3 linked regions of the Xenopus tropicalis genome follow. The protein of the gene in region 2 purifies or fractionates together with the protein of the main gene of each other region. This does not show direct contact. Links are inferred from orthologs where the notes say so. Each region holds a gene or a part of one and is shown on either strand. Other genes may lie near its edges.

The links.
Region 1: the proteins of ikbkg (region 2) and birc2 purify together in Homo sapiens (affinity purification with western blotting; 6 studies listed by BioGRID and IntAct, with this or other methods). This does not show direct contact. The link is inferred for Xenopus tropicalis from reciprocal best matches to the Homo sapiens genes IKBKG and BIRC2.
Region 3: the proteins of ikbkg (region 2) and cntn2 purify together in Homo sapiens (affinity purification with western blotting, with the first as the bait; 3 studies listed by BioGRID). This does not show direct contact. The link is inferred for Xenopus tropicalis from reciprocal best matches to the Homo sapiens genes IKBKG and CNTN2.

What each region holds. Positions count from the first base shown.
Region 1 is NC_030678.2:162,216,118-162,220,232, forward strand, and holds the start of birc2 (baculoviral IAP repeat-containing protein 2), read right to left. Parts: upstream 2,832-4,115; 5' UTR 2,808-2,831; intron 2,479-2,807; exon of another isoform or gene 2,374-2,478; intron 1-2,373. UniProt on the Homo sapiens protein: Multi-functional protein which regulates not only caspases and apoptosis, but also modulates inflammatory signaling and immunity, mitogenic kinase signaling, and cell proliferation, as well as cell invasion and metastasis.
Region 2 is NC_030684.2:25,684,879-25,688,959, reverse strand, and holds the start of ikbkg (NF-kappa-B essential modulator), read right to left. Parts: upstream 2,821-4,081; 5' UTR 2,622-2,820; exon of another isoform or gene 2,512-2,621; intron 1-2,511. Other genes in the region: g6pd (glucose-6-phosphate 1-dehydrogenase), read left to right, coding at 3,003-3,024. UniProt on the Homo sapiens protein: Regulatory subunit of the IKK core complex which phosphorylates inhibitors of NF-kappa-B thus leading to the dissociation of the inhibitor/NF-kappa-B complex and ultimately the degradation of the inhibitor.
Region 3 is NC_030678.2:64,715,072-64,719,438, reverse strand, and holds the start of cntn2 (contactin-2), read right to left. Parts: upstream 2,832-4,367; 5' UTR 2,708-2,831; intron 1-2,707. UniProt on the Homo sapiens protein: In conjunction with another transmembrane protein, CNTNAP2, contributes to the organization of axonal domains at nodes of Ranvier by maintaining voltage-gated potassium channels at the juxtaparanodal region. May be involved in cell adhesion.

The sequences.
Region 1 (4,115 bases), on a different chromosome or scaffold from region 2:
ACTAGAGATAGAGTTATACAATTCAAATTCTACCACCAAGTATATATCACCCCAACCAGACTTAAAGCTATGGGCAGATCACCAAATGCAGAATGTCCTAAATGTCACAATGTCAACGCAGGATTTATCCATATGGTATGGGACTGCATCCACATAGCTAACTACTGGTCTGGAATCATACAATATCTCAACGAACAACTAATCCTACCTAGAGTCAGGACCCCAGAAGTATGCCTCCTAGGTCTGATAGACGAGCTAGTTCCACAAAATCAACCCAGAAACTTAATGAGGGCAACACTGTTCTACGCAAAAAAATTACTTATCATGAAATGGATGAGTCCTATTGCACCCACAATAGCAGAATGGGTAGCGATGACCCGCAATCTAAAACATAACTACCATCTAACAGAAATGATTGAATCCAGACCGATAGTAAGCTATGGTAAATGTATATGATCCTATAACAGCTGAAACAATAAAACAACAACAATTCTTTGTACTGTACCTTGCTAATTTGACTGCAAAAGTTAACAGCTACATTGTTTGTAGCTAATGTCTGTATATGTTGTATTGTTCTTAAAATGAAAAATAAACACCTTTTAAAAAAAAGACAATTATCAGTAAATGATCAGCATTGTCTGACAAGTAGCTGCTTCTAGTAGCTCTGTGTGTCTTCACCCTTAAAGGAACAGTAACACCAAAAAATAAAAGTGTTTTAAAGTAATGGAAATATAATGTGCTGTGGCCCTGCACTGGTAAAACTGGTGTGTTTGCTTCAGGAACACTACTATAGTTTATATAAATAAGCTGCTGTGTAGCCATGGGGGCAGCATTCAAGCTGGAAAAAAGGCACAGGTTACATAGCAGATAACAGATAAGACACCATTGTATTCTACAGGGTTTATCTGTTAGCTGCTGTATAACCTGTGCCTTTTCTTCTTTTGAATGGCTGCCCCCATGGCTACACACCAGGGTTTATATAAACTCTAGTAATGTTTCTGAAGCAAACATAAAACTTTTACCAGTGCAGGGCAGCAGTACATTATAGTTTAATTTCTTTAAAATATATAAATTTTTTGGTGTTACTGTTCCTTTAAGGTGGCCACACACGTGGCGATCTGACGATCTTTCATGCAACCATCGGTCGCACGAAACATCGCCAGATCCGCCACACACCATTCAGCTCGCCAACATGCCATACACGCACCGAATATCGTACGAAACAAGGTTTCATACGATATTATCGGTGCGTGTATGGCCAGCTTTAGATGTAGACAGTGGTATTTAGAAACAATTTGCAATTAGGCTTCATTTTGTTTTTTTTCAGTGTAGAATTGAGGCAGCCATCTGGGTGCTGAGCAGTAAGTGTTCCAATTTACTTTAGAAACCAGCTAGTGTTTCAGTTTAGCCTAGCAACCAGGCAGTGGTTTGAAAGCCAGACTGGAAGATTAATAGGACAGGGGCTGAATTTAAAAAAGTATAATACAAAGCAACCTTAGAACTTTAGCCTCACAGAGCGTATGTTCTTTGGCTTTCCTGAAATAAGCAGAAAAAGAATGGCAAATAATTAAAAAAAAAAGCTGCTAATAGGTCATTCTATTACAAGTAACCATTTGTATGATCTTATGGTGACAGAAATCCATTAGATGACTGCTTGTGAGGTACCATTCAGGAACATGAGCTGAGCTGGATGTTTAAAGGGGAAATAAGCTATACAATTACATTATAGCATTAATCCATTTGGTATTATCCATACTGTGAGACAACTTCCAATTATTCCTCTTTTATTGGTAGAAAAGGAGATCAATCCCAAGGCTAGATTTTCTTTAGCACCTTCTGCCTTTATTCCCTCATAAGTACCATAGTCTGGTTGCCAACCTAACAAAGCCATAGCAACAAGCATTCTTTTTAAACCAGAGAGCTGTATTACAAAAATATCTATTGGTTAAAAAAAGAAAAAGCACAAAGAGTAGTTAAAATAACTAGACATTCCGTTTAGTCACCCTTGGGGCAGCCACACACAGAGGCAAGGGGGTCGCTACACACAGCCTTCATGTGGAGCAGGGGCCAAGCTGCCACGTATCGCTAGAAGCTACTGTACAAACAATGCCACACGGTTATATCATGCTAACAATTCTTTCATTAGCAGCCTCCATCGTAACTTCGTAACATCGTCCGGTACAGCAAAAGCCATTACAAGCGAAAAAAAGATTGACATCGCTCCCACAACCAATCCGCCAATAGACTCAGGCTGCATTGTTCATAACTGCCTATCACAGAAGGGGGCGGGGAAAACCGCAAGCTGCCTATCACAGAAGGGGCGGGGAACCCGCAAGCTGCCCAATCACAGAAGGGAGCAAGGAAATTACTTACGTAACAACTATTTCAGCAGCGCCCACACCCTGTGCTGATGGGAGGGAGGGCGACGGGCTGGAGACAGAGCTCTCTTACTTTCTGAGGGAGAAACTGTGTCGCACAAACAATTTATAGAAAACCTTGTGAGCGGGGGCGGGGCGTGACGCATGCCAATACGTCCTGTCCATTTAAACCTGTGCCCAAAGAAATTACTTGCACCCGGGTATGCCCGGTTGCGGAGCACAACTGGTATCGCTTCCCTAAAGTAAGCTTACTCCAACAGGGAACGCCGCGACCATTTTCTCTCTATGCCTTTGCGTCCGATTTTTTTTTCTCGTTTTCCTGCCACCGCCGCATTCTTCCGCTTAATCGTCAATAAAAATCCACCGTAGCGATATAAAACGCGGGAATCACAAGCTACACAGAGAAACACAGCCGCAGCGCTCCCTTACCTCGACTGTACCATGGCGCCGGCTAAACTAGATCTGCGCTTGCGCAGTACGTGTAATTGTATATGACGTGGTAATGTTTAATACGAATTAAAAATAGTTTTGACCAATTTATTTAGAATATCCTATGCATGAATTTCTTTATACATTCATGACGATTCGTTTCTCGTATGATAAAGGTTATTCATTGTAATCTATCCGGGGACTTTCCAAGCGTGGGAAGCTGTCATTTGTGGAACTAGTGTCATTCTTTGGCTTTCATTCCAGTCCGGGGAGTTTCCTAACTCATGGCGTGTGCAAGCTGGGATTTACACAGGGGAAAAACTATGTAATTATTTACCAGAATGGCTGATTATTATTATTATTAACATTTATTTATAAAGCGCCAACATATCCCGCAGCGCTGTACAATAAGTGGGTTTCATACATTGGACATACAGAGTAACATATAAAGCAATCAGTAACCGGATACCAGGTCAGGGGAAGAGAGCCTCTCCCCAAAAGAGCTTCACTCTACAAGGAATTACTGCATTTCATACATGTTGGGCCATACAGAAGTAACATTATAAAGCAATCAGTACCGATACAGAGGGGAAAGGGAGCCCTGCCCAAAAGAGCTTACACTCTACAAGGAATTACTGCATTTCATTACATTGGACATACAAGAGTAACATATAAAGCAATCAGTTAACCGATAACAGGAGGGAAGGGAGCCCTGCCCAAAGAGCTTACACTCTACAAGGAATTACTGCATTTCATACATTGACATACAGAGTAACATATAAAGCAATCAGTAACCGATACAAGAGGGGAAGAGAGCCCTGCCCAAAAGAGCTTACACTCTACAAGGAATTACTGCATTTCATACATTGGGCATACAGAGTAACATATAAAGCAATCAATAACCGATACAAGAGGTGAAGAGAGCCCTGCCCAAAAGAGCTTACACTCTACAAGGAATTACTGCATTTCATACATTGGGCATACAGAGTAACATATAAAGCAATCAATAACCGATACAGGAGGGGAAGAGAGCCCTGCCCAAAAGAGCTTACAATTAGTACTCCATTTAAATTTATGAGGGAGAAAAAGAAAGGCTGTACTGCAGGGTAGCCAGATTTTTCCAAACTAGCCAAAGTCAGTTCTAAAACTAGCCCAAAACTAGCCAAAAGCCACTTTGAAAGTAGCCCAAAAATGTATGTATGTATATCTTAATTTATAAAGCGCTACTTATGTACGCAGAGCTGTACAGTAGAATAATACAAACGGGGTTATTAAGATAATAATAGATAAATACAAAGTACAACAATA
Region 2 (4,081 bases):
TCAAGTTGCTATGGTCTATTTACCCTAGAAACCTGGCAGTGGTTTGAATAAAAGACTGGAATAAGAGGAGTCTGAGTAGAAAGATAAGGAATAAAAAGTAAAAAAATAACAATAAAATTGTAGCCTCACAGAGCAATTGTTTTTGGCTGCCACAGTCAGTGACCCCCATTTAAAAGCTGTAAAGAGGCAGAAGGAGGGCAAATAATTCAAACATTAAGAGAAATAAATAATGGAGACCAACTGCAAAGTTGCTAGGAATGGGACATTCTATAACATACTAAAAATCCACATAAAGGTGAACAACCTCTTTAAAAGTAGCTTTTCATTTATAGCCTACAAAGGCATTTAGGGAACCTGAGTTTCAGAGACTACACTGAATATACAGGGGTGGAAATTCCCCATGACACATGGGAAAATCCATAGGGCCAGTAAAAATGTTTACCCCACCCCAAAGGCTAGTTATTTGGTAAAACCAGACTGTAAACCATAGTTACCTCTACTAATAGAAAAAAAGAACATAAAAACATAAAACATTATAAACAGATATAGACATCCAACCATAAAGCAAAAGTAAATAGGAAACGGTTTAATAGAAACCAATGACCAGTTCTGAATACCAGAGAAAAAGGGAAAGTCCTGATGACATCACATAGTATATTGGCCAATTATATCTCTCCCATGTTATCAGAAGGAATAAGGAAGTAGTTGTGAATGTTATTGGAGAGACAGCGATAAGAAGGAAGCAAAGAGGAATGCAGCCCAGGTGATCAGTGTCTGCTGTTTGGGATCAGAGCAAAATTACATAATTACAATATGGGATTAAAGGACAATTAACACCAACATTTAATTATTACCTTTCTTACTTTTTATAGTGTCTGCATATTCTGGAGCACTTAAAGAGATTATACATCATTTCCATTAGTTCCTGCCCCAGTGGAGTTTACAATCTAAGGTCCATTTCATATTCCAATCAGCCCCTGCCCAGTGAGCTTGCAATCTAAGGTCCCTATCACATTCTCATCAGTCCCTGCACAGTGAGTTTACAATCTAATGTCCCTATCATATTCCCATCAGTCCCTGCCCCAATAAGCTTACAATCTCAAGTTCCCATCAGTCATTGCCCAGTGAGCTTACAATCTCAAGTTCCCATCAGTCATTGCCCAGTGAGCTTGCAATCTAAGGTCCCTATCACATTCCCATCAGTCCCTGCCCCAGTGAGCTTACAATCTAAGGTCCCTATCTTATTCACACACATTAGAGTCAATTCTATCAGAAGCCAATAAACCTGCCTGTATGTTTTTGAATGAGGGAGGAAAGCAGTGCAGAAAACAGAGAAACTCCTTGCCGACAGTGCCACCTGCACCCTAGGGCACAGCACTGCCCATAATTCCCTTGTTGCTGTGTGCATGTATATATGCCCCTTTATATAGTTTACCATAAAATTATTTGGACTGCTTTGTATTGCAATTGCAGTCTGCCAGACTATCCTCTGACCCCAATATAATGCAGCTGGTATCTCCATTGCCAATGTGCAAGTGGGCAAAAGGGGCAGATGTTGCACCCCTGTAAATCCAGCCATTCACAACACTGCCTATGCAAGCCGACTAACATAACCTGACCACCAGTGTCCACATGACAGGCAGGCTTAAGGTGGCCGATTGTAGCTGCCGATATCGGTCCCTTAGACTGATTCGGCAGCTTATCGGCCCAAGTAGGGGCACAAACGACAGGCCTGCCCGACCGACATCTGGCCTGAAATCGGTAGATATCAATCAGGCAGGTTAAAAATTTTAGTCAGATCGGGGACCGCATCGGCTTGTTGATGCGGTCCCCGACTGAATTAGCCTGAATTCACCCGATATTGCCCACCCGTAGGTGGGGGATATCGGGAGAAGATCCGCTCACTTGGCGATCTCGCCAGGCACTTTTAGAAAATATGCACTGCATCTGCGCCACACACACGCAGTTGGGTCTATTTTTGGCAAACCTAACGCAACTGTAGTAGATGAGTTGCAATTGTGTCAAGAGAATCATCAATTTGTGATTGCAATGACCCCGTAATTCTGGAAAAAAACAGTGCACTGTGGGTAAATTCCACTTTATGCCCTGCGTTTAGGTAAGTGAATGTGACCTATGGTGTATACAAATGCTGCTACTGACAGCTTGCTGTCTAAGCTCTCCTCCATTCCAAATCTCCCTGATTCCCCCTACACTTCACATCATCAGGTACAATTGGTTTTTTAGAGGTCTTTTCATTAAAATAGAGCACAATCAGCTGACTGTCCGACATACCCTATTGCTATTCTCTACACTGCTGGTTCTGACAACTGAAACCTGCATGAGCAATGACTATACACAGGAAGGGATACATACAGCTACCGAGTGCATTTACAAATAGCTGTAAAATCAGTGAAAACGTTGAATGCATGTATGGGTTAGCTGCTTGTGATGTTCTGCTATGGGTGCTGGATCCGACACCCATTCTATTAGTATAAAACCACTTTTAATTACCTACTGTGCAGTAACGCTTAGAGTCTCCACTCACTGTCTCAGGGTCGGCTTCCTCCACCCATTCCTTGAACAAAATGAAACTGAAGTCCAGGTTCTGTCAAGACACTTACCAAAGTGTTTTTGTATCGCTTCCGGGTTCGCTTTCCGTAGATGGTCCAACCCCAGGAAATGAGGCTCACGCTGTTTGACAGTATTGTCGGAAGTGGGGCAGGAGTCCTAAACCGGAAATGAAGCATGGCATGACTGCATTGGATTAGAAAAAAATGTAAGCGGTAAAATGTGCCAATACTCTCCTGATGGCGACCTTCGGCAACATCCCCTCCTTTGATTGGCTGTTTGCCGCTTTTCTCTGTTTTCATTGGGGAACCGTGCTCATGCGGCGCACCTCATGGCGGTGAATGACGCAAGCCACGCCCATGTGGTGGCTAAACCATTCTCTGATTGGTGGAGCGGCGCCGGGGCTGGGTGTAACGCTACAGAAGTAGGCAGAGATGGGGAGCAGTCCCAGTGTGGGTGAGTGAGGGGGTGGATCTCTCACCTGGTGTCAGTGTTCCAGCACTAGAAAAATGTGTGGAAACCTGTTCTCTGTGTGTGTGTTAGTTATAGCGTGTGGGGGGTAGCGGCTACACGAGTAGCACACAGCCTGCTTACACGCTCCGCAGCATGCTTCTTTCAATGGAGAAATTACTGCCATAGAACTGCCACACGCGTCTCAATTAGAAAACCAAATCTGTTAGTGTTCTAGAGCGATGAATCCAGCTGCTAAAGCATTAGGTTTCATATACACCTGTATATATGCATGTCAGGAACCCTGAGCTATATTCTACTATAATGGGATTTTACCAGGGGCCACATTATTCTATATAAGTATCAGTGGGTGGTGCTGTGAATGACATCACTAAGTGCTGATTATAAACAATGACATCACTAGGTGCCATATCTGTATATGAATATTTTTACAGGTTAATCATTGCTCTTGTATGTGTTTAATGTGTGCGCACGTAACTCTGAAATTCATATTGGATCTATGTATATTATATGTATGTATAAGTGATCCATAGTTGGGAACTGTTCCTAATGACCAGGCACTGTGCCAGTTGCTGACCAATTGCAGCATTTTGTTATTCCAGTGATAATAAAGCAATTTTTATGGTTTTCTCTTTCATTTCCCTGCAGAGTCCTCCCTCCTGACCCAAAAACACCTATGTACCCCAATAGGCAGAGGAAGTCATATATATGGCAGCTGCCAACCCTGCTGCTCTACTCTGCCTTAAATCCTGATGTACGAGGAAGCATAAGGCTGGAACTAGGGCTAGGCAGCAGGGGCATGTGACTCAATCACAGTTGGGGGGCACAGGCTGGACTGGCATTCAGGGCCAGAACTAGGGGTAGGCAGAAGAGGCAGCTGCCTAGGGGGCAACGATTGAAGGGCGCCAGGCAGGAGCCTCTCTTGCCTACCCCTAGTTAGTGCTCCATTTTCATTACCCCTGCCGCGGTGGGGGCAATGAACTTTCACATCGCACCCCCCCGCCAAAACACACGGGGGGTGCAATGCAATAGTGCAGGGACT
Region 3 (4,367 bases), on a different chromosome or scaffold from region 2:
CGATCATAGGGTACACAAGTTTGCTTTCCTAAAGTTTGGTGTCTTTATTGACCCAATGTTTTTAAGAAAAAACATTACATAATATATATATTATATTTTCACTCCACTGCACATGTGGAAGTGCTCACTGAAGAACTACGGTTCTCTCCTAACAGGGGCACCAGCCCGGGGTAAAAGGTAATCGATTAAAGTCACTTGGGGGTGCCTAACATTTTGGCATCCCCAAGTGACTTAGCCTTTCCTTCTCCTTTAAGAATCCCCAAACTTGCAGCCAGACAGGACCAGAGTTCCTTTTTCTTCACTTACACGTGGAGGTCTGTAGCATATTTCTTCAATTAACTTGCCTGTCATTTTTATTTGACTGAAAGAGCAGTTCTTATCCAATAAGTTTGTATGTTTTGAAATGAGTGCCTTGTACTCCCTTAACTGTTTGTACGTATCTTTACCAGACAAAGGTAAATATAAACTTTCTACAAAGTACAGGGGAAGTTAATCCAGTCATTGTTTTCTGTTTCCCCAGTTTCAAGTGAAACTTAAACATAATATTGTTTTCCATGACTGAGTGCCAATGCTCCTAAAATGGCTGCTGGATCAATTCCTCTTTGGGAAAAATAAAGAGGACTCATGGAAACACATGTCTGTTTGAACTCAAATTTTTGAAGTTTTAACAATACTTTCTGCTTGAAAAATTCCGGATTTTCATTTGTAAACATTGTGTAATCATTTTTGTGACATTTTAGAAATTTAAATTTATACCATCTCGAGTTTATAAAACTGACAAAGCCAGAAAAAAAACTAATTTTAGTAAATAAACCCCTTATTGTTGCCTGTAACTACATTTCCCCAGCACCTATATAACTGAAACATTTAACACAATGTATTACATGTATACTAGGAATACACCATATCCAATTTGGGATTTGGCTGAATCCTAGCACTTTTTGCAAGATTCAGACAAATACTCTGGTGTGGATTTGATTAGTTGTTGTCAAGTTTTTTCAATAAACTTTTTTTCTTTTGTACCTGAGCGTGCAGTACTCTTCCTCTATATGTCTATTTTTTGATCTGCACCCAGGGCTGTTATTTTGGTGACGTGTGTGCTCCACTCTGTTTTTATATATATAAAATCAAAGAATGAACCAGCACTCCAGTTCTGTGCTCCAATGTGCTTTTGACTTTTGACTTTTTTGATTTTACTTCGCTATTGCAACCTTTATACATTGAAGGTTGTTACTACAATAAAATAAATTAATCTTTTAGGTTCATACAGCTAATACTCCAACTTTAATTGAAATAAAATATGTTAACAAACACTGAAACAGCCAATAATCACAAAAAATCAGTTGATTACAGGCTAATAATATACTACTAAGTTAAAAGTTAAAATGATGAGAGCTGTTGACATTTTTCCATTGTATATACAAAATTCAGACACATTGCTACAGAACTATAATCTTATGGTAATGTGCAGACATGCAGGTCAGGTCCTATACAAGTGACAGTTAAAGGCAAACTGCATGGTAGCTTTTTGTAAATACTGGGGCATAAGTGATTCAGGTGCGTCATGCTGCTGCTGTCACAATATCCCAGTATTTACCAAATATGGGAAGCTTAAACCATAGAATCACACCAGGACCTGTGCATACTTCCCAACATTTTCAAAATGGAATGAGGGACCAAAAAAATGCTGTGCCTAGCGTGGCAAACATTTTTTGCCACACCCATTTTTGTGATCACACCCCCTAAATACCACTCCCTTTTACAAAATTTGGCAGGTTATTTAAAGTTTGAACACATTTTTGTGGGTTTTGGTGTCATTTTATGTGCTATTACAGTTTGCTAAAAAGATGTACCCCAAGAAAGTGATGTGACAGAGATTTGCAGCTCATAGTCCAACTGCATTCCCATTACTGCCCCCCAACCGCAAACTGTGATTATGGCTTACCTGTCACCTATTACATAAGCAGAAATATGCTCAAGTCTTTTTATATTTTTTAAGGCAATTCTCATATATTTTACCTACAAATAATATTTGTGCAGATCGATTTGCAATGAAAGACTCCTAAGATCACCCCCTACACATTATGGTAGCTGAAAGTTGCTTAGGTATGTTATTAATCATATACATATTTTATGTATAAAACTGACCAATATGTGGTTTTCTGTGGTTACTAAGAAAAATAACAAAATCATCAACAATCATGGAATACTGATTCTCATACAAATTGCATTCCTGTTTATGTCCCACCAGTTAGAGTAGCTAAATAAACCCCTACCCCTGGCCATACTCCACTGGTGTATGAATGTGTGTTCAGTGCCCAACACAAATGAGTTATACCCTGTCAACTAGCATTGGCTACCCCAGTTACAAAGTAAGGAACAAGGTCTGGATGCCCAGAGAGTTCCTGCCTTTATTTAATGCTGAGTTTGACATCTGTAAGACTATGCTTATTGCTTTTACTTAATAGGTGCTATCAGTGTTTGCATTCCAATAATATCTGGATAATCCTTTCTTGACAGATCATTCTGCCATATTTTTACAAAAGTTATGATTTTAAACAATAAGATAGTAAAATATTTACCTCATTTGTTTATTAATAAGCTGCCTTTAAACATTTATGAACATCAAACGGCTAGCATTGTAATAGTTAACAGTAATCAAAAGGATAAAGGCCAAAATGGTACAGTAGTATAGCACACATCTTACCTGAAAGCCAAATGAGAAAGCTACAGAAGCTGGTATCTGTATTTCTGTCTTCACATCACACAGAGATCTGCAGCAAATAGGGAGGGTGCAGCTTCAGTGTATGTGTATGTAGATGTGTGTGTGCACCAGGATACTGCAAGCTGACTGCATCACTAGATTAGATGCTCCTCCCTCTCCTCTCCCTCCCTGTCTCTCTTTCAAAGGCCAAAGAGTCCAAGCAGCAGATAAATAAAAAACTGAGAGAATGCTTTATCAAGTGTTCATTGAGTATTGCAATTTGTAAAAAACAAAAATATACTGCCTCATTATGTGGCATATAATGGTTATCTGTTAATTGTATTTATCTTCAAGTTAGCTAATTTGTGAAAATTGTATACTGTAAATAATTATACAAGTAAGTTATGATTAAATATTCACAAGAGTATTATGTTCACTCTTGGTGTCCTATTAAATAAATATGTAAATCATGTGCGATAGTCTCAGCATTGTTACATCAAATACAAGAAAAATGATGATAGAAACAATTCAGCAATTTAATAACTGACACATTGATTGTGATCATTACAAGGCATGGGGGCTATGCAATATGTATGTATGGATTAAATAAAATGTAAACCTTTTATGAATACTCCTGACTTTTTGATGCTTTGTGGATACCAGCGTGCCTGCCTACTGTCTTTTTTCTTGTTAACTTATGCAATAGAAGGACTTTTTTACCTGTAGCAACCAATCAGCAGGTAGCATTTACAGGTCACCTGTTTAAAAGCCAATATCTTACTAGTTGCTCTGGGTTTCTGCACCTAAATAAACTTTGTGACTTTTGTTTCTTATAGGGAAAACGATTTCTAATATTATAGAGACCCTTCTTAACTGAGATCCTTGTATTTGCTTCCTTGTATCAACATACATTTTTTTGGCACCACATACATTTGTGTGCCTGAAATGATGCATGTGTTTTTCACACCTTGCACACGCAAGTTAATGAGCCTTCATAAGTTTGTATATAGTGGCCAAGATGGTTTAAGTATTAAGGCATACATTGTTTGTGTGTGTCCTTTTGGCAGTCCAGCAACACCAGTTCATAAGCTGTATTATCACAGATGTGTTTTGGTGTGTTTTGATTTTGTAATCAGTGCAATCCAGCAACTTGCACTTTTTATTGTAAGTTTTATTTTTCTTTGTCTATGTAAACTTTTTGTGGCACACACTTGTAGAAAAAGAAAAACTAGGTCCAGATGTAAAGGTGCTGCACCCCTAGCCCCCCCCCCCACTGCTCGCACCCAACCCCTCCTAACCACTTGCAATCCTCTCACCAACCTGTTGCTCACAGATTCTCCTGCCGGCTCTACTTCTGCCAGTCTAGTGCAATCGTTTCCACTATATATATATATATATATATATATAAAAACAACAACAAGAGATCCTCTGCACTCACCCATTATCAATATATATATGACTTTAAGACATTCGGAGCATTAAGCTACTAAGAAATGCCCTTCCCTTTAAGCAAAACAGGGATTGTTTGTCCATATATTGCAATATACTTCAAGCTGGCCAACTGCGTCAAAGTCATCCCTTCTAACCAGTTCCTACACTGACTTATGCGATTCATTAAGAATTCTACTGCTTTAATATACATTTAGCTAAGGGACTAAGTTTT